Canis lupus familiaris: one gene and its partners. The protein of the gene in region 2 purifies or fractionates together with the protein of the main gene of each other region. This does not show direct contact. Links are inferred from orthologs where the notes say so. Each region holds a gene or a part of one and is shown on either strand. Other genes may lie near its edges. The genes, in order: AMOTL1, WWP2, POLR2M, LDLRAD4, NDFIP2, PTPN14 and GPN3.

Region 1 (4,205 bases), on a different chromosome or scaffold from region 2:
ACCACCCTGCTCTGAGTTCTCATAGCTTCCTTTTTCATACTCATCTCACAGCAAAGATCGATTGGCAATTTTCTTCGCTATCTCAGTAATTCTGTCAATGGCCCCTCTACTCCTGCCTGACTTTTGCTGTGACAAAGGCTGGCCCCTGCTGCGTCAAATCCTCTCCACCCTCAGCCACAAGCGCTCATCCTTCTCTTTTCTCCACTGCCCACTGGGCTGGGCAGCAGTGAATTCTGCTGCAAGAAACCTTGGAAAAGAACAACACCCACACACACATGCATATTCTAGAAAGAGAGAAGAAAATAGGCCAGGAGCTCACTCCAGGCTCTTGCTCCAAAAGAAGAGTAGTTTCTTTCTCCTTAGCAAAATGTTCTCGCAGAGGCACAAAGCAGAAGGAGCCTGGCAATTCCATTTTAAATAAACTCGTGCTCCTAAATTATCATATTTCAGATTGGAATCCCATCCTCCCCACCTCGGCCCCTGGCCCCATTGCTCTTTATTCTTCGTGAAGCCTCAGTGGGGAAATGTGAAAGCCACTGATTAAAAGAAGCCTGTGATGGGCCTGCCACCAGCCGATTCTGATGAGACACATCCAATTAAAACAGACAACATTTTCAAAGACCCCAGGCGGGCATTTCATCTCCTCAGCACTTCCTCCAACATGTCAGCATCACCTGAGGCAGTTCTTCCTTTTTTTTTCCTCCCCCAGTATGAAATTTAGGTCAGTAACTGCATAATCCACACAAACAACCCTGGCTGCCTCTCCTCCCTCCTCCTCCTCCCTCTGGAGTTGTCTGTTTGGAAATACATAATTGGGCCCAAATGCTTCCTCCAGCTGACTCCAGTGTTTGGGGTGAGGACCGGGCCGGGGGGTCGAGGGGGCTGGGGACTGCTGCCTCTGCTGCATGCAGGACGTGCAGTGAGCAAAGACTGGAAGGTTGGTCGTGTGATTCAGTAGTGAGATCAAGCCATGCTGCCCACCCAGGGGGCCTGCTGGGCCATCTTGCAGTGATGGTGACGTCAGATTCTGTGCCCTCCCCTGAAAATCAATAATGTGGCCTCAGCAGGGCCACCAGTTCTCAGGGTCCAGCCTTTCACCCATAAAAGGAGATGAGCCAGCCGGATGTCTACACCCATCGTTGTTGCTCTGGTACTAATGTACATAGGCTTCCACAGAGCCTTTTGGAGGCAGGCGCTCTGTTAGGGGGTGCGGGGCCAAGTGTGCATCTGTGTCCACTTGTTTCTCTGGATGCCTTTGTGAGAATGTCCAGATCCCAGGGAGATGGGGAGATGGGTGTCTGCAAAGAGAATCCCCACTCAGCCAAACAAGGCCAGGGAACTGGCTTCCTTCCCGTGCTCTAGCTGGGACAAGCATTGTGCTTGCCACAGAGGCAGAACTATTTTCTCAAACAGGAAAACAGATTCTGTGCTTGGAAAAGTGGGAGACAGAGTAGGCTGGCCGCAGCACGCTGGGCGGAAGAGGATGTAGGAGGTGTTTCCTCACCCTCCTGTCTCTGGCTGGCCTGTGTGGTATGAGAAGACTTCTGGCATTGGCCAGGTAAGCTCGGGAAAACTATCCCCCTACATTTTTCCACAGGAGAAAACAGGGAGACAGGCATAGAAACAGCCACCTTGGTTTTGTCTGACAGACTGTACTGCAGCCCTTAAATGGTTCCTAGGGAACTTTGGGTTGAGCTGTGGTCATTCTGCCTCTGTGGGATCATACTCCACTACAGGGACATATGCTTGGAAGGGACCTTAGGTGTTATCTCGTCCAGCGTGTCCAATCTGCAGATGAGAAAATAGGCCCAGACAGGGCAGGTGACCTGCCATGTTCACACAGAGAGCTACTGGTGGAACTGATGGACCAGAGACTCCTGACCTCCAGGCTGAACAAATTTCCATCAACTTATGGCCTTCCTCCCATCCTAGTTTCCTTCTTTTCTGTTTGAAAATTAATTCAACACAATCCAGCAGGCATTTACGGAACACCTGCCTTGTTGCAGGCACTGCGTTGGGCACCAGAGATAAAGAAGTGAAGTGAGCCACCTGATGATGTTCACTGTGTACTAAGAGAGAAATTTCTGCAGGGAAGGAGGTAGGGATCAGCATCCTATTACCTTACCGGAGCTCCAGGTGCACCTATATCTTACTCAATAGTGTCACTGGCTACATTGAATTATAAGTGATGTTTTAATACTCAATACTGAGGTCTTGAAGGACAAAGACTAGCTGACTAATTTTGTATCCCCAGTGCCCAGGAGAGTGTCTAATACATGGTGACTGCTTAGTAGATACTTTTTTTTAAAAAAAGTAAATATGGGGCACCTAGGTGGCTCAGTAAGTTAGTTTAAGTTTTTTTAAATAAGTAAATATGGGGCACCTAGGTGGCTCCGTAAGTTAGGCATCAGGCTCTTGATTTCAGCTCAGGTCATGATCTCAGGATAGCGAGATTGAGCCCCACATTGGGCTCTGCGCTAGGCAGATTCTCTATCTCTCTCCCTCTTCCCCTCTCCATTCATTTGTGCTTTCTCTCTCTAATAAAGTAAAATAAAATAAAATAAAATAAAATAAAATAAAATAAATAGATGAGTATTTACTGTTTCACTTAAACATACTAATCTGACAAGTTATTCTTGTCAGTTTTGTCATGTATAAAATAAGGATAAGTACTTTATTTTCCAACTCTGGCAGACAGCTTGTATAGTTTTACCCCCTTATCCACTGTTTCACTTTCCATGGTATCAGTTATCCCTAGTCAACCATGGTCCAGAAGCAGATAATCCTCCTCTGACTATTGTCAGGTCAATAGTAGCCTAACAGTAGGTCACAGTTGCATATGTCATTCATCTCACTTCATCTCCTCATGTAGGCATGTTCTCATTTCACATCATCACAGAAGAAAGGTGAGTATAGTAAAATAAGATATGTTGAGAAGGACCACATTCACATAACTGTTACTACAGTATATTGTTATAATTATTCTATTTTATTATCAGTTGTCAATCTCTTGCGCCTAATTTATAGATTAAATTTTATCATAGTTATGTATGTATAGGAAAAAACATAGTATATATAGGATGCATCCCTATCTGTGGTTTTAGCCATCCTCTAGGGTCTTAGGACACATCCCCTGTAGATAAGAAGGGACTGACTACTATATTGGAATAACCTTTTTGTTAAGAACAACCACAAAAGCAGAACTATAAAACCAGACATACATATATTGAAGGTGTAATACGTATGTCTATTTAAGAGTACATATGTGTATAGATACATAAATATGTAAATATATACTTTAGAATTATATATGATATATCTAACATATTTTATAAACATAAAATTATATATAATTATGTATTACAATATATTATATACTTTCAAAGTATTTATAATTACTTATAATGTGTGTGTATATATACACTTTGATAGGAACAAAGAAGTGAGGACTTTAATGATCAAAGTCCCAAAAAGAAGGAAAAAGAGAAGTTGGTCTGACATTGGAAGTGAATTTTTCCCTCCAGATATTTGCCGGTTTCTGAGTAGCAGTTAAGAGGCCGAGAATCTGAACAGGAAATGGTGCATGGGAGCTGAGCAACTGAGCAGAGCTGCAGTAATCACTTTGATTTGGAAAGTTAAAAGTTGGAATTATGAGCCCATCAGGGTGGAAGGACCCTGAAAAACACACTGAAAAGCAACACACGAGGAGTGAAGATGAACCTGAAATGCCAGTCATCATACACTGAGGCACATTTCAAATCAGCTTGATCTCAAATTGATTAACCTGATCTGCTTCTCCCCTAAATACCCAATAGTGTGATTAATGGATCCTAGGGTAGTTCTATTTTCAACTTTTTGAAAACCTCTGAAAAAGGTTTTCCATAGTGTCCCCACCAGTGCAAGAAGTTCTCACTTTTATCCACATCCTACCAACATCTGCTGTTTCCTTGTATTGCCCAATTGCCTTCAGAAGCAAGTCCTCTCCGGAGAAAAAGAATATCATCTAGAACCTTGAAATATCTCTACCATTCTTGGTCCACACACAATTACTAGCATTCATTCTGAAGTCATCAGACAGACCAAGAAAAAATAACATAAAGGTCAAAACCAAGAGAAAAATTGACCAGAGAAAGAAACCAATAGGAAGCCCAGCTATTGCAGTTATGAGTTTGTACATATTTAATGTTCAGAATAATATCTGGTGC
Region 2 (3,500 bases):
TCCATGCCAGGAGCCCAACGCGGAACTCGATCCCGGGACTCCAGGATCGCGCCCTGGGCCAAAGGCAGGCGCCAAACCACTGAGCTACCCAGGGATCCCCTGTTTTTTTTTTTTTTTAAATTTAAATTCAATTAATTAACATATAGTTATTATTAGTTTCAGAGGTAGAGTTCAGTGATTCATCAGTCTTATATAATACCCAGTGCTCATCACATCACATGCACTCCTTAGAAACTTGTTGATTTCAAAGAAACTGTCTATGGAAATGATAGGGCTATAATTATAACTAGTCAGCCCCCACACTCCGACCCTTTTTAAGAGTCTGTGTGCAGAGCTATTCCCACACCACCAGGTGGCCTCAGTTAACCTTGGTCTCTGTGAAAGGTATTTCAGTTTTCTACTCTGGACCACATTTTGCACCACCACAACCTGTTTCTCCTAGTACCGTCCCTTATTGGTTTTGAATCTTAGCCACAACCTTTGCTGCTACTGTTCTTTGACTTGCTCTCTACTGTTCTTTTGAGCCGGGAAAAGACAGGTATTGCTAAAAGAATCCAGAGGTAGGTTTGTCCTTTGTCAAGTTGTTAACCCTTACAGGACTCTCACCTTTCAGAAGGGCCTGGGAGGGAGAGGTTTGCTCAGTTTTGCTTCATGGGTAATAAATGCCAGTCACATGCTCTCATTTGGGGCATGGGTTGGAGGCTGTCTTAGGTGTATTCCATCCCAGAGACCTGGAGTTTCTACCATGGCTAATGCATGCTATAAGAGATGATTACCTGCCCCTGGGTGCATGCTTGGTGAGCTCGGTTTGCCGGTACCAAATAAACATCAGAAATGCTGCCACATGAAGGATACAAATAGAACAGGAAATGCAGATGGCTGACAAGCACATGGAAAACATATTCAGATTCACTAGTAATGGAAGAACGACAATAGAATAAGCAAAACCTGATAATGACCTATAGCGTGGTGTGGAGTCGGGTAGCCTGGGTGCACATCCTGGTTTGAAGCTTCCTAGCTCTGTCACCTGAGGCAATGACTTAACTTCCCTAAGCCTGCTTCCTCTTGGATGAAATGAGGGTGATGGTATATTCCTTGCTTCATGGATTTGTTTTAAGGATGTCATTAGATAATGCGTGCATAGCCTAGTGTCATAAGTGCTCTTTAAATCTTACTTAATTTGTATGATTTCTTTTTTTACCTCTTTGATTGCAAATAGTGAAAAAATGTTATACTCTGCACGGTGGGGGTGAAATGGATATATTGGCATCTACATGGGTTTATCTTTTTTTGCAAAGGAATTAAGCAGTTTGAAGAACTTTAAAAGAACATTCATATCATTGGGAGGAATACTCACGACTGCATGCAAATGTATATATTCATGATGATTTTCCCAGAGTGAAAAGTTGGAAGCAATTATTCAGTACTGAAAGAATAGTTAACTAAATTATGGCACGCCTATTGGCTCATATTGCAGCCATTTCAAATTTATTTTTGGGAGGAGAAGATTCTTAAAGAATTGGGGGCATAAAAGATGAGAGTCTGGAAAGTCTGGATTTGCCAACATCTTAATGATAATTATCCCAGTATTTTCAGGTGTGGAGTGCTTTTTTTTTCTTATGCTTCATATTTTTAAGATATCCTCACATTTTTAAAAAAGTAATTTTTTTAGGATCAGAAAAATTCCAAAACTTATTTTTTAGAAGAAACAACAAAAAAGAGTGAGAACCTCTGCCACAGGGGGGCAACAGGGAGCCCTGGGACTCATTTTTGACTTTTCCTTCCTTTCCTGTCCAGTGGTGTCAGCAAAGCCCAAGGTGCATAATCGTCAACCTCGAATAAACTCATTTGTGGAGGTGGCAGTGGATGGACTCCCCAGTGAGACCAAGAAGACTGGGAAGCGAATCGGGAGCTCCGAGCTTCTCTGGAATGAGATCATCATCTTGTAAGAGAAAGTCCTTTCTCTTTGCAGTAACACGGGGGAAAGAGAGAAGGTGTTCCAAGAGGGTTGCGGGGGATACAGGTTTCCTGTGACGCCCCTAACTCTTCTGCCTTTGGTACCCAAGGGACCTCTCTTCAGGTGTTTTTACATCATTGAGCTCACAGAGCATTCATTATTAGCTAGATGGTTACAGGGTCAGCTTGGTGGGGGAAAGAGTACACACGTGAGTGTCTTCCTGTTGGAGACTTCTGCCTCCCTCCAAGATGTCAGCAGTAGGTTTATCTGTTTTCTCCTAAGTTGTGAGAGACCAGTATGCTCGGATTTGATCAATCAAGTATCTGTTTTCCAGGAATGTCACGGCCCAGAGTCATTTAGATTTGAAGGTCTGGAGCTGCCATACTTTGAGAAATGAACTGCTAGGCACAGCCTCTGTCAACCTCTCTAATGTCCTGAAGAACAATGGAGGCAAAAGTACGTATGATGAAGGGGTGGCGGATGCGATTCGTTTGTGGGGGTGGGGAGAAGAATTGGAAGGCTTGGATTTCTCTAACACAGCATGGATAGACCTGGTGATGCAGTTTCCTCCAGGCCCAGGGGCCACAGGGGCCACAGGGACTGTTCCCCTTTTAGGAAGGCAAGAGCTCCTCTAGGTCTGCACTGCGGCATTCAGCCTCCTTTGTCCCCCGGCCTACTGATGGGATGCAGTGATAAGTCCCCTTGATCCTTTCTGATGTGTCCCTCTGCCTCTGCTCCTCTTTTCCTAATCCAGGAGGCATGTGACATGTGGAATCACACTGTCCGATGCCTCCAGCCTAAATCATTCCTAGTCTGAGTCCTCGAGCAGAAGAAAGAAGCTGTGTGTGTGTGTGTGTGTGTGTGTCGTGTGTGTGTGTGTGTGTGTGTGTGTAGGGGGGGATGGTGTTACAAATAGTGCCTTGTGCTTAGTAGGCACTCCGTAAATGTTTACTGGATATTGGAATGTGATGGAAGCTCTGTCTTAATTATTCAGGGTGCCTCTGCTGCATGGAAATGTAAATCCTGACGTCTCTTTATGGTGCTTGTGGTCAGTAGCATAACCCGTGGCTGTGGTATCTGGACCCTCCCTCATAAAGCCTCTATTGAGAGCAGTACCATATGTGGTGAGGGAATGCCACGGAAAGAAAGGCTCCTTTTTCTCTTGATGTCTGCTGTCTAGAAAATATTTTCTGAAAGTGGATTTAACTTGAGAGGTGTGGGGGTGGGGAGCATTGGGTCCCAGGGTGAGTGCCGCCTTGATTCAAGAGTCTTTTCTTTCTGAGTCTGTTCTTTCTTTCTTTCTTTCTTTCTTTCTTTCTTTCTTTCTTTCTTTCTTTCTTTCTTTCTTTCTTTCTCTCTCTCTCTCTCTCTCTCTCTCTCTCTCTCTTTCTTTCTTTCTTTCTTTCTTTCTTTCTTTCTTTCTTTCGATTTTATTCATTTATTCATGAGAGACACACACAGAGAGAGAAGCAGAGACAGAGGGAGAAGTAGGCTCCATGCAGGGAGCCTGATGTGGGACTCGATCCTGGGACCCCAGGATCAT
Region 3 (3,500 bases), on a different chromosome or scaffold from region 2:
AAGCCTCATTACATGGAAGTGCTAGAAATTCGAGCCAAAAACCCAGTGCCCCCAGCACATAAATTTAAAACTAATGTGTAAGTACTATCAGAAACAGGCTGGTCACAGAAATGTACTATTTGTTAAACCAAAAAAAAAAAAAAAAAAAAAGGAAGGAATGCTTTCAGTTCAGTGGACTTTGTGTGGGACCTCCTTATAGTTAGGAAAGAGCATATTGTGGAAACAGCCTGGCCGGAGTGGAGGATTCATGCTGAAAAATACTTTAGGTTTTTAGCCAAATTGGATAGGTTTCACATAGCAGGTGAAGTATTAAATTTCAGGATGCTTAGCCAACATTTGATATTAAACCCAGAGTTGAGAATTTATTGTGACTATTTTCCACAACAATTGTTTGTTATGCAGTTCCCCCTTTGATTAGACTGTAAGCTAAGGGGAAAAAAGCTGATGGACTTGTCATCAAAACATATTAGTATGCTGACTATATGTAAGCAGGTGGTGCTGAGGTGACACAGAAGTAAAGGTCCTGCTCCTCAGGAGTTCAGGGTCTAGATGAAAACCCAAGGCTTCCACACTTGGAAGAACTTTGAACTAGACCATAACAACTTGAGGGGGAAGGTAGCTGAGAAGGGGTTAAAGACACAAAAACATTTGAGGCAGGAGGAGCAAACCTTGCTTCTGAGTTCCTCGCCATAGTTTTGTTACTGAGATCTGCAGAAAAAGAGAAGCTCTTTGAAGAAAAAAGGATGTTACTTCCTTGTGTGCAGATGTAACATTCACCTCAGGGAGTAGCCACTGGTATCCTACCTGTCTGACTTTAGCAGGGTATAACATCATATACAAAGTGGAATCACTACTGCCTGCCTTTGAAAAACTGAAAACCTCTAGTTAAAAATACCTAAAACTTTCAAAGAACTATAGAACTATTACAAAAAAACTTTCAAGTTCAACCCTGCCATTTTTTTTAACTTGAAAACATTTTATTTACTTCTGTATAAAAACCAGAATTATAGAACATTAATTTTTAGTGAGGAACAAAAAGTAATCTTTGTACTCTTTCTAAGTAATCTCTCATCTTGTGTTCAGGGAGGTACATTTCCTTACCTCCAGGAAGCTGGAAAACCTAAAGCATCATGTAGTCAGTGGATACACTGATTGTGGTAGTGTGGTCATTTAGCTGGAAGTCAGAGTGGGGAGAGCCAGATGCTTCTTGTCAGAGCAGATCGGGAAAGGCTGGGCCTGGATGAGTCTGTTAGGTGTTTGTCGAGGGATTCCAAGAATGAGCAGTTTTTGGCTTTTTTTCTGCTCTTCCTTTGGCCTCCTCCATGCCATGCTGGCTCCATGTACCGCCTGGATGCTGGTGGCTGCCCCTCATCTCCCTCTAGCTTCGGTCTTTATAGAACTTCAGATTTGCGTGGCCAGTTACCAATGAAACCTGGCCCTGTGGGTGTTTTGTGGCACTTTAGATTTATATATAGCATAGAACTTTTACTTCTTCCCATGCTTTCTCCCATATTCCCTAAATTCATAGTGTCAGCACTTTGTTTTTTTCCCTAAGGTGTCTTGCTTTTGCCTCATCTCTGTATCTGCCAGCTGTAAAGACCTACATAATATATTTCGTTGACCTTTATCTCTGATCATTCTTATTTTTGTCCTCCTGTCAAAACGAAGGCTCTTATCCCTCTCATGGACTATAACTGGCATGTTTTGGATTCTAGTCTTAACTCCAGCAGTCCATCCTCTCCACTGCTGTCAGAGTGAAATTTGTACAATGCAAATCTGAACCTATTATATAGAACAGAACTCTTCGCTGAGGACTGGGCCTGGTGTACTTACCAGCCTTACCTCGCTGCCTTTCCTGGCCACCCCACCCCCTGAACACCCTTTGTGCAGCACCATGTTGGCCCTCACTCCCTGTTGGGATGCCTTTTCCCCTCATTGACACAGTGAGCATTTATTATTCCAAGACTCCTCAAAATTCACTTTCTTAAAGCTTTTCTGACAGCCCCCTCCCCCGTCTCCCAATAAAACTGGTCGTTTACTTTATGTTGCACTGTGCCAACATGTATAGTATGTATACCACCTCTATGTATGGTATTATCCAGGTGGTATTGTGTTGCACAGAAACTGTCCGTAAGTTTTTTTCCCTTTACTGGACAGCAAACCCCTTCGCAAATGTTTTTTGAATGAAAAGATGGAAAGACGGCTTCAGTTCAAGTGTAAGGTTGGAGGAGTGAAGGAAAATGCAAAGAACTTACCAGTCTACCTATTTGTTGAAACAGTGGATTGTCACATTATTCTCCAAAAAGGTGCTAATTTACATACTGGTTTTGAAGTATGTTTAGAAACAGGATTTTTACCTACATATATAAATACTGGTAAACTCCTTACTATTATCTTTTTAGGAGAATTCACTGCTAAGGTTGAAGGCCACTTCTGTGTGGGAATGTTGTAAATGTGTGTCTGTAAAAAGAAAGTAGTCCGCTGATACAAATTTCCCCTCCTTCAGATTACCTTCGCAACATAATGATGAATCTGCATCTAGCCATTGGCAGAGAAGAGGGTCTCCCCTTTCCTCAGAAGAGAGGCGGCTCAGGGATAAGCAGCATCTCGATGACATCACAGCAGCTCGCCTTCTACCACTTCACCATATGCCCACCCAGCTGCTCTCCATAGAAGAATCTTTGGCACTTCAGAAACAGCAGAAACAGAGTTATGAGGTATTTAGAGCTCTAAATGTTTCTTGTCTGTGTGTTGGATGCTGCTAAGTCAGAATTTACTCTGGAAAGTTCAGAAAGGATAGGACTCGATAGAAGGGAGTAGGTGCTTGAGAAATGGTCAGCTAATGCCAGTAGCTTTCAGATGTGAGCCTCTAGTTCTCTGAGAGTCTTGAAGCTGCTAGAACCACAGGATGCAGCTGGAGATGCTCACAGCTAGGTGCAGCAGCTGAGTGGTTTTTGCCAGAAAATACGGGGAGGAGACTACTGCAAAATTCCCCAGTCTCTTAAAGCCCATGCTGTCAGGCTAGCAGAAGCCTTGCTTCTCTGTCTTCTACCTTGGAAACGCCATGCAAGAGGTTCTCGGTGGTAGAAGCTAACCAAGAATCAGGGAGAACTTTCCCGGTTTCTGTCTCTTGCCAGACAGGGAAGAGCGTAATGTTGGGAGAATACTGTGGTTTTATCAACATGTTCAGACAGTAAACTTAAAAGCATGATCTGTAAGCCCCTGTGAAGACAGAAGAATCGCCTACCTATGGTGACTTAATTTCTTACAGCACTTTCTTCAAAGATCTGGGACTTCTGCCCAGGACTCTAAGCACGTATATGGACAGTTTGTGCACAGAGTAATGAGATGGGAGGAAATAGTTGTGCAGACTGGAGGGAGAATAGAAAGCATCCAATATCCTTAGATAGTAAGAGTTTGAACCTCCAGGAAAATAGCCTAACTTCCTGGCATTGCTTTGCTAGATCTTAATCAGGCACTAGGCACTATTCAAGACAAAA
Region 4 (3,500 bases), on a different chromosome or scaffold from region 2:
TATTAGTGAAAAAGGGGGCTTAATGTTCTCAGACAGTGGCCCTTCATCCTGGCTGCTCATCAGGGTCATTCTGAGGATCTGTAGTGACAACCACTGCCCAGTCTGCACCTTGGACCATCAAGACCAACTCTTCGGGCTGGGGCTCAGACATCAGAAATGTTGAAAGATGCACAGCTAAAGTCAGAGCATCGCATCTAGGGTTCTTAGTTTCAAATATCAAAAGAAACTGGTTATTAGCGGACTACTCATGTCTGTACACACGGGAGTTTTGGATAGCAACGTATGGTGGAGACGGCCTTGTAAGTCAGGATCCAGTTGAAACCCTGCCTCTTTGGCGGGGGATGGGGGTGACTGGGTGACAGGCACTGAGGGGGGCACTTGACGGGATGAGAACTGGGTGTTATTCTATATGTTGGCAAATTGAACACCAATAAAAAATAAATTAAAAAAAAAGAAAAAGAAACCCTGCCTCTCACTTGATGGAATGAGCACTGGTTATTATGAGCAGCTGACGAGTCGCTAAGTTCCACCTCTGAAACGAACAATATACTATATGTTAATTAAATTGAATTTAAATACATTTTAAAAGCTTGCCTCTGTCGATACCAGTTATGTCACTTTAGAGTTTTTAAGTTTTACTTAGCAATTTCATTCCAGCCTTAGCATTAATCTTTAACACTTAATAGCATCATAGCAATTTTCTAGTATTTTCTATATCACATCCGGAAGTCAAGAGATTCCAAATTTCAATCTAGTTGTTTTGATTCAAGTGGCCATGTGACGGAAAGGCCTTTGGTTGTATATCTAGCTAGTGACTCAACATTGAGAAGATTTAGATTTTTTGAGTTTGAAATTCTGTGGGTTGATATTGATGTTTGTATCATCTAAGAAGTGAGAATTATGTGATTCATTCATTTATATCATCAATAATATGTGATTCACCGAGTGCCTTTTACTTGCTGGGCAGCACCCTAGATGTGGAGGATATAAAGAAAGATAAGTCCTTGGAAAGAGTTAGAAAATCTATGGGTCACTTCTCACATTATTAAAAAAAAAATTCATGTTGTAAGCCCTTGGAAGAGGACTTGCTCTTTCATCTCTGTGTTTCCATGTCTTAATACCTGGCACATAACAGAGAAGGGGCCAAAATATTGATGATATAAATGAATGAATCACATAATTCATTTCCTTGAAAACATTTTGTTCTCTGGACTGGGCCTCGCTTGAACAAGTTGACATGAGTGAAGTGTGGGTGTGGTTCCATGTTCTTGTCAGTTTAAGGTTCCACATGACCTGGAACGTGGAAGTCTAACAGCAATGGTTAATTCTTTAGTTGGAGTTTAATTCAATTTAGGTTAACATTCCCTTTATTCCAATTACCATTTCAACATCATCAGCCTGTTTTTGGCTAATGTCCTTTTCATGTTTGGTATTAATCCGAACTCTAATATTTCTTTTGGGAAGAAAAATAAATTATTTTTCTTGACGTCCCTTTTTTCCATTGAGTTAAAAGCCCCTTCATAAATGTGATTTCAAACAGCTGGGTTTTAACATTTGTACCTTATGGGAAGAGCACTTGGCATCAGCAATGTTCCTACCACGTGGCCTGGATCACATTTAGTGCACAAATTTTTTTAACCTGGACACTGTGGCCAGTGAAGAACTTGTAGGACGTGCATTTGGGCTTTGTTCACCTGCTGTTCTAAACTAGGTCAAGGGGAGGGCTGGCGTCTTCTAGGCTCTTTTAGGAAAATGCAAACAAATGGGGGAACTCGAGTATCTCTTTCATACGGGGTCGCAGAAATACTTTGAGGATTTACGTTCTGTCTCTTTGCAACAGGTAAAGGGGTTATTCTCTTTGCAGCCCTCTTTGTTGTTAGCGTAGCTGGAGGAGGCCTCGGTGTGCTGATGCCCAGTCTTTTATTTTAATAATGGAATTTTAGCATTGAAGGGACCTTGGATTTGATCCATGCCTGCCACCCATGTTCTAGGCAGACGAAATAGGGGAGAAATGAAGAGGGTGTGATAGTCAACATGAGCAGGGGTCTGGGATGCTTTTCCAGACGTTTTGTTTTCTACCCACTGACTCGTACATAGCGTAAGAGTTCTGCTGGCTTTTGTGGGTGCTCCTAGGAGAAAGCTCATAGTCAGAATGCGAGGTGATATTTAATGTAAGATGCACATAGCTATTTCTGTGCCCGTGTGTATATGATTGTGTAATTTCCATTATCCTTAAATGTTTACATTGACAGTAATGTGTTAAGTTTGCAAATTTATTTCAAAGTCTTATAAAAGTATATATTCCAGTTTCATATATTGGTTTGTAGGGATTTCAGGGATCCCATGTTCAGTGTGGCCTACAAAGATATGGGCTGGGCTTCATCATAGTCTTTAAGTTACTCACATGGCCCTTGGCACATATGTTTCTCAGGTAACAGAGAACACACATTATTTTCCTATGTTTTTTTTTAAAGATGTTATTTATTTATTTATTTATTCATGAGAGACAGAGAGAGGCAGAGACACAGGCAGAGGAAGAAGCAGGGTCCATGCAGGGAGCCCGATGTGGGACTCGATCCCAGGACCCCGGGGTCATGACCTGAGCCAAAGACAGATGCTCACTCAACCACTGAGCCCCCAGGTGTTTCCTACGTTTTACATCATAAAATCAGTGCTACCCCCGCCTACTATTAAAATTGCTGTTTCTTAGGCACGAGATGAATGAATACCAGAGAGGCTAAATATTTTGCCCCGAGTTTCACGACATCCAGTGACAGTTGGAAATAAAATATGTGAGCCTCCTTTTGTTAAGCTTGAGATCTCAAGTTCTGCTGGACCCCCAGCTGCTGCTTCTGAGGCTCCCCACATTCTTGGAGGCTTAGAAAACTGCCACAGATGTTTTCAAGCAACATAGGAACCCCATATCTCTGACTTTGTGGGGCAAGTTGTGGAAAGAAAGCACCTATGTTACTCGTTTTGTGGGTCAATGACCACGGGTGAGTGATGTCTAGCAGGCCCAGAGCTCCCCTGGACGCTGTCATGCGTATTTCATAGATAGCCCTCTCTGAGTTCAGTTTTTTTGGGGGATCTGCATGCAGACCCATTTCCCAAACTACCATGGCACGCAAATGGGGAAGGGAAAGGAAACCAACCAAAGAGCATGGAGCTTGCATCGCCTACTTTATGCTCTCTATTGTCCTTTTTCAGAGTGCAAATTCACCTGCACCAGCGGGAAATGCTTGTATCTTGGTTCACTGGTCTGTAACCAACAGAACGACTGTGGGGACAACAGTGATGAAGAAAACTGCCTCTTGGTGACTGAGCACCCACCTCCTGGCATCTTCAACTGTAAGTCCCTCCTACTTACCTCGGTATCATTAAGTTGGATTGTTTTTTGAAATAATTAGGAGGTGGGGTCATAGAGAAATGGAGAGGGTGTTGATTTTGGCTTAAGAAAAGAGATTTTGTGCTTTCACAGAGGGAATGCTTTTTTTTTTTCT
Region 5 (3,500 bases), on a different chromosome or scaffold from region 2:
AGGTAGAAGATAGCAAAATCAGCATCTAGTATAAGAAAAAAGAAAATTGAGTGTAAGCAAGTTTTATTTCCAGTAGCATCTCCTGATTTTTTTTGTGTTTTTTTTTTTTTTTTCCGGAAAAGATATAACCTACTGTATAAAAAATATGGGTACTAATAATGGTTAACATTTCTTAGCAATCACTGTGCCAGGTTCTTTACTGTGCTAAGCCCTTTAAATTCATTATCTCACTTAATCCTCTTATCAGCCTTGTGAAGTAGATCGTACAGATCAGAGAACTGGCTCACAGAAGTAAGCAGTGAGTCCCAGGTCATGTATCTAGTGAGTGATACATGTCACATTGTGATTCAAACACAAGTCTCTTAATTTCAAAATGCATTCTCCTATTGTATCATATAATATAGCTTACTATAAATGATCAAGAAAGCTGTGCCTAGAAGGCATTAGGAAGGAAGAAATTATAGGAGTAGGAAAATTGCTTTGAATAAATAGCTATTTTATTTAAATTTATTCTAAAATGTTTCCTCTTTGTCTTCAGAATCCTGAAAAATCAGCATTTCTCTATGTTTTCCCTGAGGGTTAGTTAGAGATATTGAGGATAAGAGGATGGGCACTGAACAGGACCAAAGTCCTGCTCAAATTGATTTTCACTTTTATTATCATTTCTATTATTATCTTAGACACACACAGATAGCGCATTCTGATGATATCTCAAGGACCTGTGTCGGAATGGTTTCTGCTACAAGTTATAGAAAACCCTTACTCAGCTGTTTTAAATAGGTGGTTATCTCACAAAACAGAAAATCCATAGACAAGGGGATAGACAAGCAGACTCAGCCACAGCAAGTATTAGTTCTGTGGCTCTGCTTTTCTTTCTCTTCACACTCTCTAGCCCATGTGGAGTTATACTTTAATCCTCTGGCTGAGGGCAAAATCCCTGCAGCATTTCCAGGTGTTATATTCAAATTAGAAATCCAGTGGATAAGGGGGATTTTTTTTTTCTTTTTAACATTTATTGTAGAAATTCTCAAACTAGGCAGGAGTATAACCTGTATGTATTTATCACTCAACTTCAACAATGATCAATTTAGAGCCACTGTTATTTAACCTATATTCCATCCTCTGTCTCCTTGATGTGTTTTTAAGAACCAAAGAATGCATTTCAAAGTCCTATTAAAAAAAAAAAAAAAAGTGGCAGGGGCTCCTGTGATTTTCCCAGACTACTCAGGACCCCTCTCTTTTGGGGTTAAGTATATGATCTAGCCTTCCTTAAAATAAAGACTCTGTTGGTGGGTGGGTTCCAGAAAAGGGGTAAAAGTAGGTTTTGTTAGATAGGAAGAGGCAATGAACAGTACCTCCTCTGGAAACATTTTATAATTTGTTTGGCTTATCTTTAATATTGCTTTTTAAAAAATCCAGTTTAGTTAGTTGATTGCTTAGGCTGGAATTCTTGGGTGGGATCACATGGGAGCTGAGCTACATTATGACTTGATTTTTAGCTGGTTTAAAAATGCAGTTTTACCTATTGATAAGTTTTAAGGAATTGATTCCTGTTGACCAGACTAACAAGAAACCAAGCTTATCTGTTTGTTAATGTGTAATTAATAACCAATATATTTGCAAAAGGTAAACTACGGCCTATAAAGAAGATTTAATTGGTACAAAGTCAAAAGAAAGGGAATTCTTACTTCCATTGTGCAATGAAGTATTGTTAATATTATGTCTCTGTTAATTTGTTTCCAAAGTGTGGTCCTTAAAAGAACTATTTCTCTTGCTTTTAGTGGCATTTATTTTCAACTGGCTTGGATTTTGTTTATCCTTCTGTATCACCAATACCATAGCTGGAAGGTATGGTGCCATCTGTGGATTTGGACTTTCATTGATCAAATGGATCCTTATTGTTAGGGTGAGTGTCTTAATAGCCTCTATCACTTTGATCTCTAAAATTAAAATCTATGAAATTTCTTGTGTGGTTCATAAATATTCCTTTTACATATATGAATCAATTATTTTGAGGCTTATCTTTTATACTTATTGTAGTGATCTCTGTGTTAACATTTTGATGCTTTATTATATGAGAGCTTACTATGGAAAGAGCTTTGAAATCAGAAAAAAATTTGAGTTTGAATCTTACTTATATCAGTGTCCTAACTTTAAATTTTTAAATTGTTCTGAGAATTTCTTCCCAATAAGCTGGTATTAGCTGCCTTTCAGGATTTCTGTGAGGCCTAGCAGTAATATAATTAAAGCACTTGCCTAGTTGCTGCACAAATACAGGTGCTTGGTAAGCTGTGGCTGCATCTGCTGTGATACAGTGCACACATGCCTAAAATCAGGTAAAACATAACATTTTCTGTTGGTTAGTAAAATTCTCAAGGACTTAATTTCATCTTCTCACTCTTTCTTTTTTGAGAGCTCAAAAAACTAAGACCTGTGAGGTGTCTATCTGAACTCACCCATTTTCTGTTATGTTCCCTTTCCACCTTTCTTATTTCCCTGTTGTTCCTGGAATTCACCCTTTATCTACTTCTTAGCACTTACCACATGGTGTGTAGGGAGATAATGCTAAGTCTTTATCCCATATCAACAGTTTGTCCCAAAATAATTTTCTGTAACCATTCCAGTGGCAGTAGCCCTGTTTGCATAGTCTTCCCCCACTCTTTACCTTTGCCTCTTGGAGGCCCCTTTTAGATCCTTTGGTTCCTGTTACAAAGCCTTTTCCCTAATTTCTTTATGTTAGACCTAGGAGAATGATCAAGAATGGTTTGGGGGCACTGAATGGCTCAGTAAGTTAAGCATCCAACTCTTGATCTCAGTTCAATTCACATCTTGATCCTCAGGGTCATGAGTTCAAGCCCTGCATTGGGCTTACCTTAAAGAAAAAAAAGAGTGATTTTATTTATTTTTTTAATGAATTTTCTTAAAAGTAACCCACATATTTACATGCTACTATACAATTGATAAAATGCTTAATTTCTACAAACATATTTATTTAAACATTGATTTCTAAATGAGTGAGTCACATCCTCCTAAAATATTCAGTAGAATCACATACTTAATGTCAGCTTCTCTTAAGTGCTTCAGACACTTCAGTTATGTACCTACATCAGCAAATTGATTTAAAAAATTAATATTGGACTTAATGTGTTTCTTCATTATTTTTGAAGTTATGGCTTCCCAGAGTTTCAGTAATTTTATCAGACCTCATTCATCTCTGTTCAGACCAAATTATAGATTTTGGTTATTAATCAGTTGATTCTTGGGTGCGACATGACTTGGCTTCTTCTGAGATGATTAAAACCTGAGCCAGTGTAAGAACAGCCCCCTGGCGGATTCTTTTTCTAATTTCATTTAAAAAAATGTGAAGTGGATTCCCACCATGAGCATAAATGTGTTAAGATGTTAGCATACAAAGATAAAGCACAATCCCTGCCCTGAAAAAAGTTATTACTAGAAAAACCTCAAAATAGTTGAAGTTAATTGTGTCCAATGGTTATTAT
Region 6 (3,500 bases), on a different chromosome or scaffold from region 2:
GCATTCATTACTTTTTCCAGGCTGGGAAAGCTCTCCCCCAGGGCGCCACCCCCGTGTTTCATTCCATCCCCCAGCCAAATGGTTTTATTGGCCAGGGGCACAGGCATATCTTTCACAATTTCCCTCTAGGTTTGCAAAAAGTGGAAAAAGTTATGCCTGTACCAAATTCTTAGCACTACTCTAACTCGTGGCCAAAACTGTGCTGCTGGGAATGCTCTGAAAATTTGTCGAAAGTAGTAATGTTCCTACGGATTAGATTCCTGAACCCAAAAACGTGGCTTTCTTAAAACTTTGGTCTTTAACTGTTTTCCTTAGTTTGATAACCACTGGGGTGCAGGGAGACTTCTAGAGGAAGGGAGCCTAAGAACCTCATCAAAGGAAATTTTAGCTTGCAACTGTTCTGGAGTTCCTAAAGTAAGTGCCAGCTACCCTATGGTAGAAATGTGGTACCTGCAGAGGAGAAGTCAATATGGGTTTGATGACTTGTAATGAAATGATGCTTTTACTTTTTTTTTTTTTTTTAAAGATTTATTTATTTATTCAGAAAGAGAGAGAGGCAGAGACACAGGCAGAGGGAGAAGCAGGCTCCATGCAGGGAGTGCAATGTGGGACTCGATCCCGGGTCTCCAGGATCACACCCCCGGACTGTAGGCGGCGCTAAACCGCTGCACCACGGGGGCTGCCCAATTCTTTTACTTTTTTAAGGAAATTTCTAAAACAAGGAGTAATGGTGATCTGAAATATTCTTTAAAGTAGTAACTACAGGGGTGCCTGGGTGGCTTAGTCATTTAAGTGGCTGACTCTTGGTTTCAGCTCAGGTCATGATCTCAGGGTCATGGGATTGAGCCCCCAGTAAGGTTCCGTGCTGAGTGCAGAGTCTGCTTGAGATTCTCTCCCTCTCCCTTTGGCCCTCTCCTTGCTCACTCATCTCTTTCACTCTCTCTAAAATAAAATAAATAAATAAAATCTTAAAGTAGCAACTACAATCTAGCAATTTTCTCATTACTAGGAGATAATGCACTTTGTTGGTCTGTGTGTGCACCTGTTACCTATACACTCTTGCTGTTACAATATACCTGGTTCTCCAGCTGGTACGTATCCTGAGTAAGAGTTATTTATGTCTAATATCAGGCATCTCCAAATGCTTTACGTGTGTGTCTATGTACGCGTATGTTCACATGCATGTGTGTGAATACCGAGAGAATGAGCTTAACGGGGAACTGAAGCTCAGTGATGAACTTGTGAGTTTACGGTAGTGTTTTTGGTTTGTGTTAAGCATCTACTGAAAGAAAATCTGAAAATAAAGCTGAACACGTCATGGTCCAGTCATTACTGGTGAGCCATCTCTGACATAGAGCTCTCTACACAGAGCTGCGCTCTGAAGGGATGTTGCTCTTTTACTACCTAATTGAGGGAAAAAAATGCTTCTCCCTAAAAGAACCAACAAGAAATGTAGGAAGGAGAGCTCCCAGTAGCTCACACAACAGGACGTCTGACCCTGAATAAAGAGCACAATGCTGGCCCAAACAACCTGCAGCATCCTGACTCCACTGTGGTGCCTTGCGCCAAGCACAGCAATTAAAAGGCCCAAATGAAAATGGAAGATTTGACTGAAAGGGGAAAAACGAAAGTTTTGTGAAATAAAATACTGCCCGTTGAAATGCCAACTGATGCTCTAATTCCCTAACACATTCCCTGGATCAGCCTCGCACTGCCTTCGGTCCTGGTGCTTTTACACCCTGTGTCATGGGGACGCCGACACTGCCCCGGAGCAGAGGACACTTACCCTGAGGGCCATCTCTCTCTCTACGATGCTGTCTTCCAGGGAGAACATCTCAGACACGGGTCTCTCCTTCACAGGCTCTTTTTTGACCCGCTCCTTTACGCTTGTCAGGTCGGGTTCAGAGATGGACGGGCCCAGGGAAGGCCCAGCCACTGCCAGCTGGTCAGCGCGGGAGACGCTGATGGCCTTGGCTGGCCCGTGTCTCAGGACCCTGGCCCTGGCCATGGCAGGAGGCAGGCTGACCTGGTCTTGCCGTAGCGCCCCATTGCTAACACTTTTCCTTGGGCCAGGGTACTCGGGTGGGGGTTTGTTTGGGATTCGGGCCAAGGCCGCCTGCAGCTGGGCACTGTACCCCATCTTCTCCCGGAGCACAGGGATCTGGGGCACCGATCCCGGGACCTCCTCCTCCTCCTCCTCACTCTCACTGCTGTGGATCAGCATGGTGGCATCGGAGAAAGTCTTCTTGTGGTGGTAATGGGGAAGCTGGTGGGCCTCGTGGCTCCCTGGCACCTCCTCGGGTGGCCCCTGCTCCCGGAGCGTGTTTCGGCGGGCCATGGGGATATTGAGTGACTTCAAGGTCATGGCTTCCATGCCCCGCACCATGCTGCTCATCACCTCCAGGCTGTGGCGCTTATTCACTGCGCCGTGGTGCTTGGTGGCCGTGAGGGGCTCGCTCACCTCCTGGAGAGACTGGTGCACCACCGGGGAGCTGTCCTCCTGGAAGGTCTTCACGGACAGCTGCACTTTGCGGGTCACCAGGTCGGGGCTACTGCCGCTGACGTACTTGTGGCGGTGGCTGGCGAGGTCTGGGGTGCTGGTGGCAGGGCGCGGCCGTGGGTAAGGGGGTGGCGGCCTGAAGAGATAGTTTTTGAGCATATGAGCCGTGTTGTAGTTCTGGGTGCCTTGGAGCTGCATGTTGGCCAACTCTGGCGTGCTCACCGTGTGGGAGATGGCACTTGCCCCCGGCTTGCTCGGCACCGAGTTATTCTTTGGGTTTATTTGGTCAGATGGACTGACAAGTTTGTGACCATAGCCTCCCTGTGGCCCATAAGGGACAGTGTAGGGGTGCCTCTCCCGCATCTCGGGCTGGCTGTACACCAGATCCTCCGGCTGGTTGTAGGCATGCGTATTGATGATGTTGAGGTTTCGCAGAGACTGGCTCTGGCTGTCGGCGTGCAGGACCCCCCTCTTCATCTGCCGCATGACTGTCTCATAATCGGGGGTAGGCCGGTAAGATGGCACGATGATGGCGCTGTGCCGGTGGCTAGGGATGTAGTCAGCCCGCATGATGTCACTCCCTGGGATACTGAGATTGGAGGACACAGGAGAAGCCTGGATGAAACTCTGGGAGCAGCTGAGGGAGTTGACGCTGTGAACACTACACACGCTGCCATTGGTGACGGTGCCATTTAAATAATTTAAATCCAGACTGTTGTGAGAGTTGTAATACAAGGCTTCTTCATTCCCGTGGAAAATGCTGTCTATAAGAAGTCAAACAAAGGCACGTGAGCCTCCACATCATCCTGCTCCAATTAAGTTCATCCTCACACTCATGCGCATGATTTTTAGAAGTCATTAAAAGTGAAATTCTGTGGTCTCCACCCACATATTCCATGAAAAAACTAGTAACTCTTGGGTGAGAGGCCAACATACAGAAGGAACACTTTAAAGCATACTAAAAAGAAAAAGGGAATCTAATCAAAGAACGGTATGTACA
Region 7 (4,189 bases), on a different chromosome or scaffold from region 2:
CTAGGATCCAGCACTTTGTCAAGCACTGTAATGAACAGCAAAGACAAGAGTCTTTTAAGTCTTTGATGGGTGCCTGGGTGGCTCAGATGGTTAGTGGGTGATCCTTGATTTGGGCTCAGGTCCTGATCTCGGTGGTCCTGCTTGGGGCTCCACACTCAGACTTGAGGAGTCTGCTTGAGGATTCTCCCTCTCCCTTTGCCCCTCCCCTCTGCACGCACCCACTCTCTCTAAGACAAATAAATCATTTTTAAGAAGCCTTCAAACACTATATATATGTTTCATTCCCTATATATATTTCATATACATGATGTATATATGTATACATTTATGTATATACACATTCCATATGTATGAGTGTGTGGTGTGTGTGTGTGTGTGTGTGTATATACACACACACATATAAATAAATGGTCATGGGTGCAGCAGGAGCCATGACTGTGTGCTTTTGGAAAGGTACACCCTGAAGCTCTTTCAGGTAATAACTGATGGAAGGGATGAGAAGGTACTGAAGACTAATTGTCTTCAGCATCCAGGAACTATACTAAAAGAGCCTTCTCAAAATAAAATGGATTTATGAAGAAAAACTTCAGTGGGAAGAAAACATCAAGATCAACGTACCCGTAATATTCATAATTATCTGTCTCATCGTCATTATGAATCCCCTGGACATAAAAGTGGCCAACGTGACACCCACAGAACTGGTTTATTGACTTGGAAAGCCTCGTTCGAACCTGTTTCTGCCGTGCCCCCCAACCCCCTCTTTCTGTAGAGATCCTGTGGCCAGACGGCATTTTCCAGCAGGTTTCGCAGCGCCCCCTCGGGGCAGAAAGACGCACGCAGGCAACTGTCGCAGTCCCGGCGTTTAGTCATTGCACCAACGCTCGGCCTTACCTCACAGGCCCTTCCCGTAAACAGCGAGGCGGCTTCCATGTGTGCCACCCCGGCCACAACAGAGCTTCCCCCTTCCTCTCAGTTCAGCGCACTGGGGGGTCAGGCCACGGGAGCAGCCGGCTCCCACCCCCTCCTCCGCCGGGGACCACGACCTGGGCCGGTCGGCGTCCTCCCTCACCCCTCAGGGCCCCTCAGCCTCACCCGCCGCCGCCACCCTCGGTCCCGGCCACTGCGGTTGGGTCCGCGGAAGAGCCGCATGCCGTCCAGTCGGGCACCGGACACTGGCCGGGCATCTCCGCCCCGGCGCCCGGACCTCGAGCGGTGTGCGGAAGCAGCCTCCCCCTCTCCCCTCCCCCGGCAGCACGCGTGCGTCAGGCCGGGCGCTATTGGGGGTGCACCCGCGGACGCCGGATTCTAGCCCCCGCCGAGGCGCTCCGGGCACTGCCCGAACGGCTTCGGGAGAGCGGGGAGGGCAGAGACCAGACGCTGGAATTAGAGAGGGGAGGGGCAGGAACTCTCTAGAGGGTTGCGCGCTTGCACGTTTTGTGGAGGGGATGAGTCCTCTTCCACGGGAAGGAAACATACACGCCCTCTAAAACAGGAGGTGCCTTCCACCTCAGGATTCCCGGCCCTCTAACAGCTTTGCAAACGTTGGGTGTCGCCAGATAGGTGAGACGTTCGTACGCGAACCGAGGACCGAAGTCCGCGGCGCAGGGATGCGGAGTGCGAGCCGTTAGCCGTTATCTCCAAGGCAACCAAGCTTCTCCAGCGTCCCAACCGCCGATTTCCGCCACTACCTCCGCGCACACTCTAACCGCTGCCCGGTCCGCCCCGCCCACGCCGAAGTTTCCCGAGAACGGGTTTCACACGAGATTTGATCTGCGGGACGCTCCGTAGCCAGGGATGTAACAACGCAGGGCGCAAAAGGACTGTGGGTTGCTATTGGTGGTCACGTGGTGTTCCCGGAAGTCAGTGAGCGCCGCGCGAAGGCTGAAGGGAGCGGGCCGGTCGGGCTCCGTGAGGCGTGGCGGGCCCAGCCCGGCCCCAGGAGCGCCGGCATGCCTCGGTACGCGCAGCTGGTCATGGGCCCGGCAGGAAGCGGGAAGGTGAGGCTTTGGCGTTAGAACAGGAGAAAAGTCGGAGCTCGTGGGAGGCAGGGGGGCTGTGGTCCTGACGGAGGGACCGGCGGGTGCGTGCACGCGGACCCTTCGGCAGAGCGCTGCTGCAGTCTGGGCTTCGTCGCTCTTTGTTGCGATTTTGAAAGTGGGGAAAATAACAGTGGTGGCTAATGCTTAGAGTATACTTATGCCCCAGATACTGCGTTTAAACTCCTAACTTATTTCCAGAACAACGTTGTAGGATAGGTCTTGTTCTCATTTTTACGGATGGGAATTTTACAGAAAATGAGACACGGAAAGGTTAAGTTCTTTTCCCAAGATCACGCGGCTGGAATTTGAATCCAGTTGTGTGTAATCCCAGAATCCGCTCCTGTCTCGCTCATAGAAAGTTCAGGTGAGGTCTCATTAAGTCAGTTTCTCAGAGCTTGAAACATGGACTTCTGGTCTTTGAGGCGATTTTAGGAGGTACATGGCCTAACATTAGTGAACATTGGATCGTATATTGATTGAGCCCCATGTTGGGTGTAGAGAAAACCAGGGGTAAGGCTCCTGGCTGATTCATTTGGTGGAATGTGAGTCTTGATTGAGGTCAGTAAATTCTAGAGATCATAAATTGAGAAAATTACTCCCTTTTCAATTCTTTCAGTTTGCATTGAAGTGAAATTGTCAGTTTGACACCTGTGTATCTTTAATACTTTCTTTTTTTATGTTTGAGCCCCATGTTGGGTGTAGAGATTCCTTAAAAATAAAGTCTCTAGAAAAAAGAAGAGAAAAGTAGAGAAGCGCTTTCACTAAAGTTACTCTTGAGTCTCAGCCAGGTCTGGATCTACAGCCCAGTCAGATGTCCTGACTGCCAGCCTAGTACCTGTTTTCAGTCGGCTTTTTGATCAATGAAGGCATAATTTTGGCCTCAGTGGACACCGACCAAGGGATATAGGGTATCCATTTTGGGGGTGCAGGGGTAGCACTACACTGCCTATTGCTTTGACCCCATGATGCCTTGTGACATTACAGAGCACCTACTGTGCCACTATGGTCCAACACTGTGAAGCCCTCAATCGGTCTGTCCAAGTTGTGAACCTAGATCCTGCAGCAGAACACTTCAACTACTCCGTGATGGCTGGTGAGTCCTGAACAGAGCCTTCCCCCTCCTTCAGGAAAAATGAGGGGGTGGAGAGGCCATGAGTGCTGGCTGCTTGGTACAGAAGGTGAAAACTTAATTATTATAGTCTGCTCCCCTGCTTCATGATGAAATGTGTGACATTATCCTTTCTTCGTCTTAGTTTAAGAATTGAGTATCTTCCCTCATACCTCTTTTCTGTCCTTTTTTTCCCCACTTTTGTAAAATATTTTATTTATTCATTCATGAGAGGCAGAGACAAAGGTCCTCCATCCCAGGACCCTGGGATCACCCCCTGAGCCTAAGGCAGACGCTCAACCACCGAGCCACCCAGGCATCCCCCCTTCTGTCCTTCCATGCTTAGCCTGCTGTGGTGAATCGGGTTTACTGCAGGTCATAGTATTAGCGAGCAGCTTAACTGTTTGTTTGTTTTTAATTCTTTTAGAGGCGCCTCCTACCCTCTCTCTTGGGAAAAAAATTTAAAAAGAATTTTTTTAAATTTATGTTTCTTTAGAGGGAAAATCTTTTTTTTTTTTTAAGATTATATTTATTTATTCATGAGAATACACAGAGAGGAGAGAGAGAGAGAGAGAGAGAGGCAGAGACACAGGCAGAGGGAAAAGCAGGCTCCATGCAGGGAGCCTGACATGGGACTCGATCCCAGGTCTCCAGGATCATGCCCCGAGCTGTAGGCGACGCTAAACCGCTGAGCCACCAGGGCTGCCTGAGAGAGAGAATCTTAAGCAGGCTCCATGCCCTCCATGCCCAGTGTGGAGCCCAACATGGGGCTTGGTCTCAGAATGGTGAGGTCATACATAACCTGAGCCAAAATCAAGAGTTGGACACTTAACTGACTGAGCCACACAGGTGCCCCTAAAGTAAAATTCTTTCAATTTATTCATTCAGATGTCTTTTGAACACTTACTTTATGCCAGATGCCAAGGTTCTAGCAGAGAACAAGGCAGACATTATCCTTTCATTCATGGACCTTTTAGTGAGGAGATAAGCAAAATGATAAACATTAAAGATTGTGATAATGACTCCAAGTAGTCAATGAGAA

Evidence for each region.
Region 1: the proteins of WWP2 (region 2) and AMOTL1 purify together in Homo sapiens (affinity purification with mass spectrometry; 3 studies listed by BioGRID and IntAct, counting the BioPlex papers as one, with this or other methods). This does not show direct contact. The link is inferred for Canis lupus familiaris from reciprocal best matches to the Homo sapiens genes WWP2 and AMOTL1.
Region 3: the proteins of WWP2 (region 2) and POLR2M purify together in Homo sapiens (affinity purification with mass spectrometry, with the first as the bait; 3 studies listed by BioGRID). This does not show direct contact. The link is inferred for Canis lupus familiaris from reciprocal best matches to the Homo sapiens genes WWP2 and POLR2M.
Region 4: the proteins of WWP2 (region 2) and LDLRAD4 purify together in Homo sapiens (affinity purification with mass spectrometry; 3 studies listed by BioGRID and IntAct, counting the BioPlex papers as one, with this or other methods). This does not show direct contact. The link is inferred for Canis lupus familiaris from reciprocal best matches to the Homo sapiens genes WWP2 and LDLRAD4.
Region 5: the proteins of WWP2 (region 2) and NDFIP2 purify together in Homo sapiens (affinity purification with western blotting; 3 studies listed by BioGRID and IntAct, with this or other methods). This does not show direct contact. The link is inferred for Canis lupus familiaris from reciprocal best matches to the Homo sapiens genes WWP2 and NDFIP2.
Region 6: the proteins of WWP2 (region 2) and PTPN14 purify together in Homo sapiens (affinity purification with mass spectrometry; 3 studies listed by BioGRID). This does not show direct contact. The link is inferred for Canis lupus familiaris from reciprocal best matches to the Homo sapiens genes WWP2 and PTPN14.
Region 7: the proteins of WWP2 (region 2) and GPN3 purify together in Homo sapiens (affinity purification with mass spectrometry; 3 studies listed by BioGRID and IntAct, with this or other methods). This does not show direct contact. The link is inferred for Canis lupus familiaris from reciprocal best matches to the Homo sapiens genes WWP2 and GPN3.

The regions. Positions count from the first base shown.
Region 1 is NC_049242.1:6,356,557-6,360,761, reverse strand, and holds the start of AMOTL1 (angiomotin-like protein 1), read left to right. Parts: upstream 1-1,405; 5' UTR 1,406-1,558; intron 1,559-2,006; 5' UTR 2,007-2,098; intron 2,099-4,205. UniProt on the Homo sapiens protein: Inhibits the Wnt/beta-catenin signaling pathway, probably by recruiting CTNNB1 to recycling endosomes and hence preventing its translocation to the nucleus.
Region 2 is NC_049226.1:80,497,101-80,500,600, reverse strand, and holds part of WWP2 (NEDD4-like E3 ubiquitin-protein ligase WWP2), read left to right. Parts: intron 1-1,797; coding exon 1,798-1,945; intron 1,946-2,291; coding exon 2,292-2,413; intron 2,414-3,500. UniProt on the Homo sapiens protein: E3 ubiquitin-protein ligase which accepts ubiquitin from an E2 ubiquitin-conjugating enzyme in the form of a thioester and then directly transfers the ubiquitin to targeted substrates.
Region 3 is NC_049251.1:23,186,821-23,190,320, forward strand, and holds part of POLR2M (protein GRINL1A), read left to right. Parts: coding exon 1-77; intron 78-2,506; coding exon 2,507-2,717; intron 2,718-3,500.
Region 4 is NC_049222.1:24,835,031-24,838,530, reverse strand, and holds part of LDLRAD4 (low-density lipoprotein receptor class A domain-containing protein 4), read left to right. Parts: intron 1-3,207; coding exon 3,208-3,348; intron 3,349-3,500. UniProt on the Homo sapiens protein: Functions as a negative regulator of TGF-beta signaling and thereby probably plays a role in cell proliferation, differentiation, apoptosis, motility, extracellular matrix production and immunosuppression.
Region 5 is NC_049243.1:32,872,612-32,876,111, forward strand, and holds part of NDFIP2 (NEDD4 family-interacting protein 2), read left to right. Parts: intron 1-1,781; coding exon 1,782-1,906; intron 1,907-3,500. UniProt on the Homo sapiens protein: Activates HECT domain-containing E3 ubiquitin-protein ligases, including ITCH, NEDD4, NEDD4L, SMURF2, WWP1 and WWP2, and consequently modulates the stability of their targets. As a result, may control many cellular processes.
Region 6 is NC_049228.1:12,224,324-12,227,823, forward strand, and holds part of PTPN14 (tyrosine-protein phosphatase non-receptor type 14), read right to left. Parts: intron 3,265-3,500; coding exon 1,787-3,264; intron 1-1,786. UniProt on the Homo sapiens protein: Protein tyrosine phosphatase which may play a role in the regulation of lymphangiogenesis, cell-cell adhesion, cell-matrix adhesion, cell migration, cell growth and also regulates TGF-beta gene expression, thereby modulating epithelial-mesenchymal transition.
Region 7 is NC_049247.1:8,520,174-8,524,362, reverse strand, and holds the start of GPN3 (GPN-loop GTPase 3), read left to right. Parts: upstream 1-1,389; 5' UTR 1,390-1,949; coding exon 1,950-1,997; intron 1,998-2,266; exon of another isoform or gene 2,267-2,403; intron 2,404-3,023; coding exon 3,024-3,132; intron 3,133-4,189. Other genes in the region: protein FAM216A, read right to left, coding at 1,093-1,184. UniProt on the Homo sapiens protein: Small GTPase required for proper localization of RNA polymerase II (RNAPII). May act at an RNAP assembly step prior to nuclear import.